2 linked regions of the Pelodiscus sinensis genome follow. Each later gene encodes a partner of the first gene's protein in a complex. Links are inferred from orthologs where the notes say so. Each region holds a gene or a part of one and is shown on either strand. Other genes may lie near its edges.

Region 1 (7,417 bases):
GGGGTAAGCTAAATGTAGTCTCACTCTTAGCAATTAAGGCATTTGTTTACAGCATTTGTGTCAATGATTTATATCCACACAATAAAATATTAAAAGCAGCAAATTATAAATGTAGTACTATAACAGTTCTGGCATGTTTTCTGATAGTATATAGCTTCAGATGCAAATTTAAATCTACCAGAAATGCAGAAATAGTGTTTATTGCATTACATAAAATATGACATAGATGCTTAAATCTATACAACGTAATATTTATGCACATGAACTTGTAGGTTAAAATGTCAGTCTTCATTATAGACTGTACAAAATATAAAGTACAACTAAAAGGAAGTATTCTACTCTCTCCCAATGCACTACTTACAAACTGTATATCCTGTAAATAACTGCATTTTGCTAATGTATTGGTTCTTCCAATAATAATTACTGAAATCAAATTCCACTGGAGGGATTTTGAAGGAACAGAGGAAAACAACAAGCAATGGGAAACAGTTTTTCATCAGTTATTTCTAAATAATATTAGGTAAAATCTATGGTTAAATCCACTGCTTTAAGTTATTTATGTTCAGAGAAACCATGTAATAATAATAGCAAATCAGCAAAGACAACTTTGCATGGATAACAACTAATGTCTAATAAAGCAAAGCCTAAGCATCATTAGACAAAACATGGGGACATAACTAACAGTCAAACTGTATTGTTCCTCTAAACCATGCCCACCAAACACATTCCTCTAGCCAGGCTGGGGGGAGAGGGAGGGGAGAACCCATTTGCCTAATGGGGCATATAATTTAAATATTTCAGACAACCATTTACAGAGATGTTGCTTAAAATAAATATAACAAACATCCATCTAAATATCTTGCATTACTGCGATCATAATATAGCTCACAAGTTGTTTTCTTGTATAAACTATGAATTATTATTAGTATTCCAATTCCTTCAGACAGCATGCATATGCAGTGCTAGTTTAATATAACAATCCTAATTTGTTCCAAAGCAGACTCAACATGAAACTGCATTTTTCCTTATTCTAGTTTCTTCTAACATTTTTAGGGACAGTACAATGTCAGGATCCATTCCTGACAATACAGAATTTCTGCAGTTTGTAAGGTACAGCTTTAAATCTAGAAGATGAGATAGGTACAGATTGCAGCATTGTAACCAGAGGAAGATACAATCAGCCACTGTCCATATTTTGCCACATTTAACCATAAAAATCCTCTCTAAGGAAAAATATTTATCCACCAATTCAAGGCTGTCACACAGTCAATGTTTAATAAGATTAATATAATTGGAATATGAAATTACAAGATTTGCAAAAAAAAATTGAACCTGCTAAGAACAAAAACTGGAGTTCACCAAAACTAGGCACAAGAGAGTACATTATAAAAACTGAAAAATATTTTAGACGAATCCATCTACTACTATATAGAAAGAGAGGGGCTCTGCCATTATATGCTTGATCTGAACATTTTAAAGAGTTGCTCAAGTTTTGGAAATATTAGTTTATAACCATGTAAAGTAATGCAGCAGAGAAAAATGCATACTAAAAGTACTTCCTTGGGATGATAAGATTGAAAGAGGATTTAATCTTTTTACAATTTAAACTACAAAGGTTAGTTCTGCGTGCTCTTTGCTACAAAGCAGGGGTCTCATCTCTATGCACGCCACAAATAACCTGAGCAACGACTTCCCTCCACAAGAACTGCCCATCGTTTTACAGAATTAACACACGCAGTGTTGGTTTATTTACGGTATGCATGTGTGTGTGGTGGCTATTTGTAATTTTAGCCATTAACGTAGGTCAGGTCCCCCACCACACATCACAGGACAAAAAAATACATATCACTTCAAGCCTCAACTGCAGCCTTAAGCAAACAAAGCTACTCTGCAACCGTGATGCAAAGTCATTCTAAATTCACTTAATCTCCAAGATCTGCTTTACAAAATAGTCCAGTCCCTTCTCCCCTAATGATCAGCTCACCATGTCGTCTTCTATATCTGTCCTCAGCTTATTTTCTTTGCCTCTTCTAGCTTCACGGGATCACCAGGAAGCGGTGTACCAAAAAACAAACAAACCCTCTTAAATAAAACACTCAGCAATTGATCGGCAGTAGAGCAATCAGACCTCTTCCTCTCTCCCTTTCCATTTTCCAGAAGCAAAAAACACCTCTAGATGCCCACTGCCTGCTACCCATTCATTCCCCGACCCCAGAAAAAACGGTGTAGGTGCATTCGATTCAGGTTGCATTTCTTTCCACCTCCCAACTCAAAAATTCCTCTCCAGAGATCACAATGAGTACGTCGGATACAGATTAAATTCCCTTCTTATCCTCCAAGGCAACATAGTAGATGCATCACACTCAGACTTAATCCACCCCCTTCCTTCTTCCCTCTTCATTTGCAAAGGGCATCTAAAACATCTTTATCCAAAGGGGAAGAATGGAAGGAGCCTTTAACTCTTGTTTTACATTTACCTTTTTTGTTGCTTTTCTTTTAAAAACACTTAGGATTCCTTCTTTTAAAAAAAACAAACTTGCTGCCGTGATCTTCCTATATGGTCGTCCACTCCCACATCCAGGGTCTGGCGCTCTTCATATCTCACAGAGAAACAACCTTGCTTAATAGTCCTCTTCAAAACTCTACCCCCATCCCAAAAAAAGAAACTAAGAAATAATGTCTCTTTAAAGAGGTTTTTGTACACTTCCCCTTAAGAATTACGTTTAAATAGTCACCTATAAAGTTTGAATAATGCTTAATTTCTCAACGCCCTTTCAAAAAGACTCTCTGTAAGATGTCCACCAGAGATTCAGTTGGTTTTGTAAGTTAACGTGTGCTGCAATGTATTCATCCCTCCAACTGTTTTATAGAGTGGGGGTGTTAATCCCTTCCCGTCAGTAAAATTAGGGAGGGGGCGGTAAAAATGCTGAGTGATGGAAATAGGAATTCAGGTTTCCCCTCCGTCCTCTAAGGACAGCATGGCTGGCTAGTGTGTCTGTGAGAGGGGCAGGAGGGGGAAGGGTGGAAAAGAGCTGAATTGTGCTCCAAACCTAAAAAACGGTCCTGCTGCTGCTGCTGCTCTGTGCCCCCTCGTTCGCAGCTGTCCGTCTGCAGTCAGCAAACAAAACGACGCACTTCTCACTGGCCATGATTTTTCCTATTGGGCATCTTTGTTTTATTAAACCCAGCAACGACCATCTCATTGGTGAAGTTCCTCAAGTCTGTCGGCTGGCTGACAGCGAAGTTTGGCATTGGACAGCATAAGTGTCCGTCAGAGTGGAATTAACCTCCCTTCTAGGAATGAAAAAAGTTCCCTAGTCCCATTCCGTTTGGGAATACATTATGATTGAATGCTTTTAATTTGTTTAATCGCTTGAAATACTATGATGATTAACAAAAAATCAAAACAAAACATATAATTAATAATCCTTCTGAAGCATCACAGATTTACACTTTGCACATTCTAAAACACATATAATAAACTGTGAAAGAAACAGGAAATCTGGATAGCAAGCACTTTTAGCCCAGAAGTCCAAACTGCAAAACAAATGGGAGCCTGCTCTTGCATTCAGATATCTCCAATCTGTACTGATTTCAGTGGAAGATTTGAGTACCAAGATACAGGATTAGTTGTGCAAGGCAAGTGGTTTTACATGGCACTGGTGGGCAGCTGGGGGTGCCGCTGCTGTCAGACTGGAGGGTCCCTGGCTTGTGCTTGGTCCCGCTGCAGGGAAGAGAAGAAAGGATGGGTCAGACAGGCAGGCCGGCCACTGTCCCCACACCTCATGCCCTCCACCCCTGAGCCCAGGTGATCCCACAGTTGTGTGGCTTGGGCCCACGCGGTTCACCCGCTTCCCCCCGTGTTGTATGTTTGCAAGGAGGACTGCCACTGGAGTAGGGTCCTCCTCCATATATTGTAACCACCGGTCTGTGTCCTGGCCCTGTGGAGGGCGGAAGGGCGCGTGTGTTGTGTTAACCTGTGGAACTCCCTGCCGGTGGAGACTGTGAAGCTTTGGGCTAATCACTGATGTTTGACAGGGAGTGAGATGCATCCCCACACAATGCCTGGGAGCACATCTGGCAGAGGTGGTCTGGACTCTCAGATCCCCATCGTGTGGGATATCTCCTGAACGGAACCAGAAGAGTGACTGGGGGGGGGATGTCCCATCCTTGCAGCAAAACTCAGGGTGGCCCTAAGGGTGGCCGAGCGCTTCCCCCCTTTCTCCCTCCCACTATCCCTCACACAACCCCCGTAGCCCAGGGACATGTGTGGCCACAGTGGGGATTTACCTTGGGGAGCCAGCCAAGGCACCGGGAGCAGGCGAGGGGCTCAGTGGGGGCCACAGTCACAGGGCTGTGATGCTGCGATTTACCCAAGAGCAGCTGGCTGTGCCTCACAGCCAGGCATGGGACAGTGTGCCGTTCTCCGTTCTGGACCCTTGCAGAGGTTCGGGCTCTGGGTTGAGTCCCTGGGGCCCTGGCCAGTTCCAGCTGGCATCCACCCTTCCCCCTGGTCCCGCTGAATGTGTGTGAGCAGCAGGGTCCCAGGCGTGTCCTGCAGCTGCCTGCCACGGTCACGTGCCGCTCCGTCACCAGGCTGCACGTGGTTGCACGTGCTGCTTGCTGCCTAATGCTACACAGCATGCAACTCAAGTGGCCTGAGTGACATGCTCTGCCCCTCCCTCCTCCAGACGCCTGGCTCCCCCCCCCCCCGCCCTCCGCCCTTGTGAGTGCGAACTGCAAAGACCCACCGGTGGATCCTTCCCCGGCCTCAGAGGAGCTGCTGGATGGGTCCTGCTGGGTGGCAACGCTGGTCTCCTCCCCCGAAGCGCTGCTTTCCTCTTCTTCCCCCGCCTCGGTGATTCGGATGACGGGGGGGCGCTGGCAGGTGTCCACCTGCACATGTGGGCCTTGCGGGGCTGGCTGGCCCAGTATGGAGTGCAGCCGGTCATAGTGGGAGCAGGTGTCTGGTCCTGCCCCCCTACCCTCGCTGGCCCACACGTACTCGAGCCGCAGCTCCTTGACCTTCGCCCAGACTTGGTCAATGTTCCGGGCAGGGTGTCCACGCTGGGCCAGCGCCTCGGCCATTCGGCCGAAGATATTGGCTTTGCGGCGCCAGGACCGGGTATTGTGGAGGCCCTCCTCCTCCTGCCAGAGGTCAAGGAGGGTCTCCAGCTCCCTGGGGGTCCAGGAGGGAGCCCGTCTTTTGTGGCCCCTGGGGGTCTCTTGCGCTGGGGGTGCAGGTGGCTCAGCACCCGGAGCTGCCATGGCTGGCTCAGATGGCTGCTGGGCAGGGCAGGGGCGCCGTGACAGACCTCAGGTCGCAGGTCTGAGGCACACTCCTGCCACGTGCGATCAGCAGCCTGCGTGTTCTTTTAAGAGCTCGGGTTACCAGGAAGACCGGGGCTCCTACGGGGTCTCCAGGTGTCCAAACCGCTTTTTTCCGTTTATTCTGCTTTTTCGGTAAAGCCTTAGCTAGCTGTCTACACTGGCCCTTTTGCACAACACTTTTTTGGAAAAAGGACTTTTGCCCAAACGGGAGCAGCAAAGCTTTTCCGGAAAAGCGGCTGATTTTGCACAGTAGATCATCATTGCTTTTGCGGAAAATCAAGCAGCCAGTGTAGACAGATGGCAAGTTTTTCCGGAAAAGTGGCTGATTTTCCAGAAAATCTTGCCAGTCTAGACACAGCCCATGAGTTTTGCCTTTTTCAATATGTGATCTCTGTGTGAAAGGCAGTACATATTAGTAAAAGCATTTTGTGGAATATCTTTCCCGAATCCAATAGGAATCTCTGTCAGTCAGAAATCAAAACCAGATCTCCTTATTCTCCCCAAGTGTTTCTATCCCAAGCTAATTTTTCAGAAGTGTTGAAACAGAGCTTTTTAATTTGCATTTGTTGGAAATTTGCATCCATATATGAAAGTACAAGAACATGTGCTTCTAAACACCTGGGCTACGTCTACACTGGCCCCTTTTCCGGAAGGGGCATGTAAATTTCACGAGTCGTCGTAGGGAAATCCGCGGGGGATTTAAATATCCCCAGCGGCATTTAAATAAAAATGTCCGCCGCTTTTTTCCGGCTTTTAAAAAAGCCGGAAAAGAGCATCTAGACTGGCCCCGATCCTCCGGAAAAAGCGCCCTTTTCCGGAGGCTCTTATTCCTACTTTGAAGTAGGAATAAGAGCCTCCGGAAAAGGGCGCTTTTTCCGGAGGATCGGGGCCAGTCTAGACGCTCTTTTCCGGCTTTTCTAAACGCCGGAAAAAAGCGGCGGACATTTTTATTTAAATGCCGCTGGGGATATTTAAATCCCCCGCAGATTTCCCTACTACGATAGCTGAAATTAACATGCCCCTTCCGGAAAAGGGGCCAGTGTAGACGTAGCCCTGGAATATACCTACACTTCAAAATTTATAGCTTCAAAATAAGTTAGTCCTATCTCTTCAAATTTATCCCTTAGACCTAGAATTTCAAACTGACATGATTTTTTATGCTTTCAGATTTTGGGTGCCCGAACTGACACCCCTTCTAAATTGGACGCTTTTTCCTCCTGTCAAATTGGACAGTCCAAAATGGAGGTACCCCAAATCACTAATCAGCTCTGAAAATCTCAGACTTATTGATAAAACCTCAGTGAGAGACAACAGTGTAATTATAACTTTACCGATGGATAAAATTTGTAATAAATAATGGACCTCATTCTGTGAAAGACATCTGCGTAGAATAGTGATAGAAATGTGATAGAAATCTGCATAGAGTTTCCCTTAGCTTCATTAGGACTGATGTTTCAAATGCTTGTAGGATCTAGCTAACCAAACCATTAATATCAAGTGACTTACTCAGCAGAAGCCTCATAAACGGACACTTCTCTAAATCACAGTTGTGCAATACATTTCCCCTCAGATTCATGATTCTATAACATTCCCTGTGGACATAATTTTTCATATAGCTAGTTACTGTAAAATTATGAAAATGTACGGTATTCTTTTAGCTCTTTTAATTTAATGCATCATCTGGAAATATGCAGGACCACCCAGTACTACCATATGATCATTCATTTCTCTAAAAACAATAAGGAAGTGCTCCACAGACTACTAGTAGCCTATGGACTCTTGCTGCAACATCTCTAGTAGGGATGTAAAAATTTTAAAAAAATTACCATATAACTGTTTGAAATTAAATTGGTTACATGGTTAAATGTTCTGTGGGCTGCAAGTGCTGCAGGTTCCTGGTGACTGCCAGCCCTACAGGCTCCCAGCAGCTACTGGACCTGCAGGCTGCTGGCACTGCTGGACCTGTGAGCTGCTGGCACCACTGGACCCACAAGATTGGCTGCTGGAACCAAGGCCTCCCAGTGCATGCCAGCCCTGTAAGTTCCCAGTGTCCACTGGCCCCACGACTTCCCAGCAGCTGCCAGAC
Region 2 (7,724 bases), on another chromosome or scaffold:
AACCACTGCACGCAGGACCCCTGGGTTCAAACACATAGCGTTGATGAATTGGAAATGGATGTGTTAATTAAAAAACAACCAATAGCTTTGAAAGAGCCCCTTCATACATGACAAAACTGCAGTAGGAAGGTGTTTTAATTAAATTAGGGTGAAAAGTTGAACCACCAAGCAAGTACATCAAATGTGCACACATCAGACTTTTTTAAAATAAAACTGGCATCCATTGGCTGTCCTGACTCAAGAAATCCAGCAAGCACTACCTTCCTGTGATTGCAAGCACCTGGGAACAAGCACACCGACTAGGCCCATGAAGTGTTGAACTGTAGGTGTCCTTGAAATCTCAAACACCTGTCCACTTCCACCTACACAGACAGCAGGGTCTGTTTACTAGAGAGTCAAGTGGAAGCAGCACTGTTCTCCCACATTCCTTCCCTTCAGAAGCCAGGGCTACAGAAAGAGGTTCAAAATTGATCCAGGAGACTCTGTGTGTCATATATCAGAGGAACAAGGGCTGCTATTGTGGGTTTCAAGGACTATTAAATATAATTTCTCATTGAGACAGGTCACTTGGCATCAGAGCTGGCAACAGTACAGCTAAGCTACCTACCTATGCGAGTCTTACACTTTGCAGCCACTTTTCGCTTGCAGTTGCACATAAAAGCATTTCAGAACTAATGTTTGGCTTCCCTTCATTCTTCCTTACACATCTACACCTTGTGCCGCATCAGGCATTACAGAACATTCTATTCTCTAGTCACAATATGATGCACGGATCTGGTTTGGAGGTATTAAAGTTTTGTTGCTTTTAGAGAGCTTTAAAGGGCTGTGTCAGGATGTTGAGATTCCATTGCAGAATACAAGGTACGTTTCTATTTTATAAATAGTTAGAAAATATTTGATGCATGGGGCTGTTGTTGAAGTATTCCAGCATCACATCTGTGCACAAAACTTGACTGCCTCACAAAAGCGCCAGGGAAGTTCCCAGGATTATTTGAGGGAGAACAAGCGCAGGTTTGCACTTTAGTCAACAGTCAGCAGGTACAGGCACTGGGAGGCACAGCTTTCCAGATCTACAAAAAGTCTCAAGAGGGGCGTGTTAGCCTGTAATTAAAAAAAGACTTAAAAACAACAATGGTCCTGTAGCATCACTTAACCTCTGGGCTTTATTTCCCCCTCTTCTAACAAAGGGGGATAATTCTTATCTATTTCATACAGGAATTGTGAAGCTTACAATTTTGTAAAGTGTGTTTAGATCCCTAGATAAAAGGCATTTGCTCAAAAAATCTCTCCCCCATGTAGGAGAAATTGGGCTAAAGAGCCTACCTAATGAATTAAGTTAAAAAAATCACCCTATTTCCCCATACAATCACCTTTCCATGCACTACATAAACTGTGAATTTAGAAGTGGGTTTTTAAAGTTATCTACAAACCATCACAAACCCAGAGTTTGCATATGCCATCATGCGAATGGGCAGCTTGAAAATGTGAAGTGTTAAAATTCACACAGGAGTAAAACAAGCAGCAATCAATATCCATTAGGGAATGGGAAAGTTACAAACCAGTTTAATAGCACTGGGCAAAGAATATCTATTAACTGTACTTTGTACTTACACAGTCCCTCATTCCATGAATTAAAAGCACTTTACATCATTAAATACATGTACTACACTGTCAAGAAATCAAGAGATTTTTAGCACCCCCAGGAAAATTTAAAACCTTGCCACTCTTTTGGATTTAGAATATTTTACACCTATGACATACAGAAAAATACTGATGCATCTGACGAAGTGGGCTCCAGCCCATGAAAGCTTAACCCCAAATAAATGTGTTCGTCTTTAGGTGTCACAGGACCCCTCACTGATTTTACAGAAAAATACTCTGATCATTTTTTACTTTCCCATGAGGCATATCCCCTACACACCATTAAAACTGCAGGACTCTTAGTCTGTATCTCAGTGCTTGTAAGCATCCCAACAGGACAGAGTTTACACCTGACTGGTGAGAACCCTGTTTGCAGGCCCCCTTGCCCAATCTACTAAAAATGAGCCCTCTCCCCATGCCATGAGAGCTTCAGGTTGACCCTGTTTTCAGAAGGGTTATTAAATACACTCATTACTCCTGGCCTCCATGAAATGCCAGTGGCACCCCAAGAGAAGTCCAGGGCGATTTTTAACCAGCTGTCACTTTCCTGGAGTTACTAGTTGCCACCATTAATGATAAAGCAAAAATATCAGAAGGAAGAGGCAGAAGCGGATTTAAAAACACAAACTGATTTCGCTGCGCCTTGGGGGCCCCGGCTCGGGCCGACTCTCCCCAGACAGGCTCCGCTGACTGCGGGGCCACAGGCAGGGCCCCCCCCCCCAGGGCCCCCGCTGCCTCCCAGCCCGCCCCGGCCGAGGGGGCAGGAGCGAGAGCAGCGAACAAAAGGTAAAGCCCATGTGGGAGGAAGCTGGCGGCGTGCGGGAGCCGCACATGGCAAAGGCGCCGCCGGGCCATGTGGCTGCACCGCCGGGCCGGGGCACGGCGCCTGGCGGCTCCGGGGGGGGGGCTACACCCCCCCACGCACCCACACGGGCCTGGGGGGGGAGTAGATCCCCCTGGGCACCCCGCTCTGCTGGGGGGGGGATGTGCCCGGGGTGCCCAGGCGCTGGAGAAGGTCTCGGTCCTGCTGGGGGGGGGGGGGGGGCTTTGCCAGTGGGGACCCCCCCGGGCACCGTGGGGGAGGGGGGAGGGGACGGGAGAGAAGCTCAGGCCACCCCCAGAGGGGTGCCCCCCCCTCCACGCCCCCTACCCGAGGGGACCAGCGCTGCCCAGATCCCGCCCTAGACCCCCAGGCCCGAGCCAGCCCCCCCCCCCCAGGCCCCGCCTCGGCCCCCCCTCAGGCCCCGCCTCGGCCCCCCCCTCAGGCCCCCCCCCGCACTCACGGTTGGCGATGTCGCCCCCCATCTTGTACTTGGTCACCACCAGGTCCTCGGCGATGGTCAGCTCGGCCGCCTCCTCCTCGCCCGACATGGTGGCGCCGCCCGGCCCGGCCTGGCCTCGCCCCGCGCTGGAACCGCCGCCGAGTGAGGAGAGACCCGGCCGGAGCGAGCGAGCCGCAGAGAGCGCGGGCTCCGCGCGGGGCACGCTGGGCAGGCGAGTCCCCGCCCCGCTCCGCCGCCGGACTACGACTCCCGGCAGGCGCCGCGCGGAGGCCGCCCCGCCGCATGGAGGACCACAGCTCCCGGCATACGGCGCGCCCGGGAGCTCTCGCGAGAGCTGGGGCCGAGGGGCGCTTCCCGCGATGGCGGGCGGGAGGGGCGGGGCGCAGTGCACACTGGGAATTGTAGGCTGGGGGGGTGGACTTACTCAACTTCCAAGGGGGTTTGAACTACAAGTCGCAGGGAGCTGAGGAGCCCTAGGCAGTGGGGGGGGCTCGGTGGGGAGGGATACAAGGGACACCCCCCCAAGGGGGAGAGGACTATAGTGGGGGGTACCCACGTGGGAGGGGAGTACCCTGGGGGCACCCCCTAAGGAGCTGGGGGAACCCAGGGTGCTTGCTATGGGGAGGGGTCTCACCCAGGTTACCCCCAACTAAGGTCTGGAGCTGCAGCAAAGGCAGGCAAGGAAGGGGAAAGAAACTCCCTCCTCCGAGTGCCCCTTGGCATAAGTGTTCCCACCCCAAGGCGGAATGAATTTTGTGATGTGCACAGGTGTGGCAGTGGCGTGCGACATATCACTGTCATCCTGGTGCACATCACTAAATTCACGTAGCCGGGTGTGGGGCTCAGAGCTGAGGCAGAGGGCTGGGGTGCAGAGTGTGAGGGCTCTGGGGAATAATGGAGGCACCAGGTTTGGGGAGGGGCTCAGGGGCAGGGTTGGGCTGTAGGAGGGGGTACAGGCTCAGGGCCGGGGATGTGAGCTTTGGGGGTGAGGCCAGGGATGAAGTCCTTGGTGTGCAGTAGGATGCTCAGAGCGAGGGGCTCAAAGTGGGGTAGGGAGTTGGGGCTGGAGCTTACCAGGGCAGCAAGGATAGGCCCCTTTCCCTTGGCCATAGCAGCTCCATGCTGGGGCCGGTGAGGAGGGGCTCCCCTCTACTGGTCATGGCAGTTTCGAGGCTTGGTGAGAAGTATTGCTTCCCACTGCAGTCCTTGGTTCCTGTCCCACTTAATGGCAAGTTGCTCAGCTTAGTGGGGAAACTTAGTCCTGGAGCTATCTCTCCCAAGCTACCCATCCTGGCCCCACCCATCCCTCATGCCAGCCCATCTCCCCTCCCAGAGCCAGGCCAGCACAGATGTATCCAGGCACGTGTTCATCAGCTTCATTTTTATTTTGTTTTTTTAAAAAAATTAAAACTCCAATAACGGGAAGCATAGACAACTGAAAGATGGCATGAACAAGGGCTTTCCACACAGAGGTTTATTATGGGCCCAGCCAAACCCAGTGTCCCAGGCCTGAGAATCCAACATGTGAGAGGAAAGCACCAATTCCCACCCACCTGTGGCACCAATCTGGCTGTGAGATGCACTTGGAGAAGCCCTTCTTCTGCCGACACTCACAATTTCAGTGTGAGTTTTTTGTGTTTTCAGTAAAGTATGGTTCTAGTCTTTGTGGCTGCACAGAAAAGCTTCAGAGTATGAGCTCGTGTGTGACCTAAAGGCTCAGAAACCAGAAAGCAAATAAAAAAATACCACAACCAAACTCATTTTAAAAAAACACAACAGAATTTGACAGCTGAATAATGATTTTTGAGCCCTTGAGATCAGTACTGCTGCCTACAGAGCCCTTCTTGACCTTAGAACATTTGTTTGCATCATTGCAGAAGATAGCACACAACTTACAGATTCTTTATTTCACCAATGCTGTATTCACTAGGGTCGTGGTAGATAGTTACCTGGAGGTTTGTCTGTATTTGGTATCCCTTGCTCATATCAGAGCAAGTTTGTTGGCACGGCCCTCTTTGTTAATAAATGCAGCCCCAGTTGCTACAAATGAATCAAACTATATGCGTCTCCTTCCAAGACCAGAGCTTAAATATGCAATAGAGGTATATTTCCTTCTGATCGGCATATTCCCTGCAAACCTTGGGACTTTGTCTCAATTTGAGTCACTTCGCAGGCTGTTATTCCTGTGAGTGTCTGATTCTCTTTAAAACTGAAACACTAAAGCTATTTCATCCTGCAACGGAGAGTCCCACAGGTAAAAGTGTAAAGCTCAGAGATTTCTTTTCACCTTCATTTCACCAGTTCTGACACACAGCAAACAAGGACAGGAATACAAAAATAAATACTCCCTGCTTTCCAACAACATTAACCTTTACACTTTGAAAACATACAAGGAGGGGGCTTTTCTGGACAGTCCAGACAAGTCTACTGGAGGCATTGCACGTGTCTTTAAAAGGACTAAATAGCATATTGGATTGGCTCATTTTGAACCTGATTTTCCCTTGCACCCATTTCAAGCTGCCAAGTTTGCATGCCCTTTGCACAGGTGTAAACACCTCGAAGAGAAATTGGACCCAGTGACTTCACTAGAATGAGTCTGTCTGGAAGCAAAACCAGCATCTGCCCCTTTGAATTTAGTAGGAAGATGCAGGCCTGGAGCTACTGCCCCATGCTCCGGTCTGCTGGGTGGCTTTTGGTTTGTTCTTTAGTTCTTTCTCCTTTGGAGAAGCTGGGAAGAAAACACAGCAAACCTCTCACCCTGTCACGCTATTGACTGTTCCCATTTTAGAACCCAGAGGTCGGGGCTCCTGCCTTTGAAACAAACAAGCACAGAACAGGTGGGGAAGCCTCCGGCTTGGGCTTGCTTCTACTTTTCAGTCCTCCCTTCCCAGCCCTGCACTCTACCCCATGGCCGGAGTGAATAGGTTTTTCTGCAGCGTTAGTGTCACTTGCCAGCAGAGGGCAGAAGTGGCAGCTTTTAGAGCACGTGTTTGGTCCTGGGCTTGGCCCCGGCCAGCACCGCTTCCTTAGCCCAGACCTGCAGGGTTGTGGATTAGGACTGAGACTCACGCACTTCGCCCCCTGCTTGTAAGGGGAGATCAGGAGACTGTGCTTCCCCACGGCTCTAGCAGAGGGGAGATGGGCTCACTGGATGCCCCCGAAGCGGCCATGCTGCGCCCCGATCTCTCAGGACAATGGGTTAGCTCCTCCGGCTGCAGCAGGGAAGGGATGTGCCAGGGTGGAGCCCGGGAAAACCTACTCCACACTCCCTTCTGCAGGTCCTTGCAGGTCTCCGCCTTAGTCAGACATTGCTAATATCACCCATTCCTCCCGCCCATCGTGTGGCTGAGCCAGGGTGGAAGCAGTGAGGAAATGCACCTGCCCATTTGCACAACTCAGAGCAGAGGGCGACAGCCTGGTCTAATGGCTAGATGCCCCCTTTTTTCTGGCGCTAGGAGCAGAACCAGGAATCCTGACTCTTGTGAGCTCCGCTCTAACTCATAGGTAATGCTCCCCTCCCAAAGATTAAGAACATAAGAACAGCCATACTAGGTCAGACCAAAGGTCCATCTAGCCCAGTATCTGGTCTGCTGCCAGTGGCCAATATCAGATGCCCCAGAGGGAGGGAACACAACAGGTGATCCTCACATGATCTCTCTTTTGCCATCCATTTCCAGACAAACAGAGGCTAGGGACACCATTCCTACCCATCCTGGCTAATAGCCAATGATGGGCCTAACATCCATGAATCTATCTAGCTCTTTTTTGAACCCTGTTAAAGTCCTAGTCTTCACAACATCCTCTGGCAAGGAGTTCCACAGGTTGACTGTTCGCTGAGTGAAGAAAAACTTCCTGTTGTTTGTTTTAAACCTGCTGTCTATTAATTTCATTTGGTGACTCCTAGTTCTTATGTTGTGGGAATAAGTAAATAATTTTTCCTCATTCACTTTTTCCACACCAGTCATGATTGTATAGACCTCTATCCTATCCCTCCTTGATCTTTTCTTTCATCGACTTCCACCACTTTATCCAAGGAGGTCCAAGCTTAGGTAAAGTTCACTGCCATCCATGGCTTCATGTGGAAATAATTCAGAGCCTTGCTCTGAGGGCAGGAGACACATACTCTACTTCCTGCAGAGGAGAGAAACAATTCAGAGCCCTTGGGCACACCCAGACCAGGACAGAAACTGGACACAACCACCCGACAGAGAGCGCCGGCCCCTGTGTCTAGCGCAGAAAGCCTTTGTCAGAGGAAAGTCCTCCCAGTGCATGAGCCAAACCCGCTGCCCAGTGAGCGTGGCCAGCCTGCTGGAGCCCAGGGCAGGAACACAGCCCGTGAACCAGGCCCCCTTGTTCCAGCGTTGCACGTGACGTGAAACACACCACGAGGTTCAGTGCAAAAATATCAACTTCAGTTCTTCACCGCAGGCTAGGGGTGTTCTCCCTGTGCCCCGTTGGCAACTAGCACCCCACAGCTCTCATCAGGCTCAGGTGCTGGGGCATGAGAGGAGGGGAGGCTCTGGCCACCCTGTTTACACTGGTGTGAATCCAGTGTGACTCAGGAGGATGCAAGATCAAATTCCAGTCCACTGGCTTCTTACACCAGTGGAAATCTGGTGAAACTTGCACAGAACCTGATGCGCCAACACCTTCTGACCTGCCGCGGCCTCCAAGCTCAGCGGCACCAAGAGAGGGGCAGCAGCCATGAGAAACCCCTGGCTGGGGCTGGTGTGTGTGTGGAGAGCTACAAGGCCGTGGGGGCAGGCATGGGAGCCGCTCATGGGTACGGGCTGCCTCCAT

Evidence for each region. The genes of interacting proteins can lie anywhere in the genome.
Region 2: ARVCF (region 1) and PA2G4 share a complex: the UniProt entries of both Homo sapiens proteins name them as parts of the ribonucleoprotein complex. The link is inferred for Pelodiscus sinensis from reciprocal best matches to the Homo sapiens genes ARVCF and PA2G4.

Annotation. Positions count from the first base shown.
Region 1 is NC_134725.1:19,249,939-19,257,355, forward strand, and holds the start of ARVCF (splicing regulator ARVCF), read right to left. Parts: upstream 3,132-7,417; 5' UTR 3,051-3,131; exon of another isoform or gene 2,643-3,050; 5' UTR 2,478-2,642; intron 2,035-2,477; exon of another isoform or gene 1,985-2,034; intron 1-1,984. UniProt on the Homo sapiens protein: Contributes to the regulation of alternative splicing of pre-mRNAs.
Region 2 is NC_134729.1:4,164,942-4,172,665, forward strand, and holds the start of PA2G4 (proliferation-associated protein 2G4), read right to left. Parts: upstream 3,151-7,724; 5' UTR 3,013-3,150; coding exon 2,925-3,012; intron 21-2,924; coding exon 1-20. UniProt on the Homo sapiens protein: May play a role in a ERBB3-regulated signal transduction pathway. Seems be involved in growth regulation. Acts a corepressor of the androgen receptor (AR) and is regulated by the ERBB3 ligand neuregulin-1/heregulin (HRG).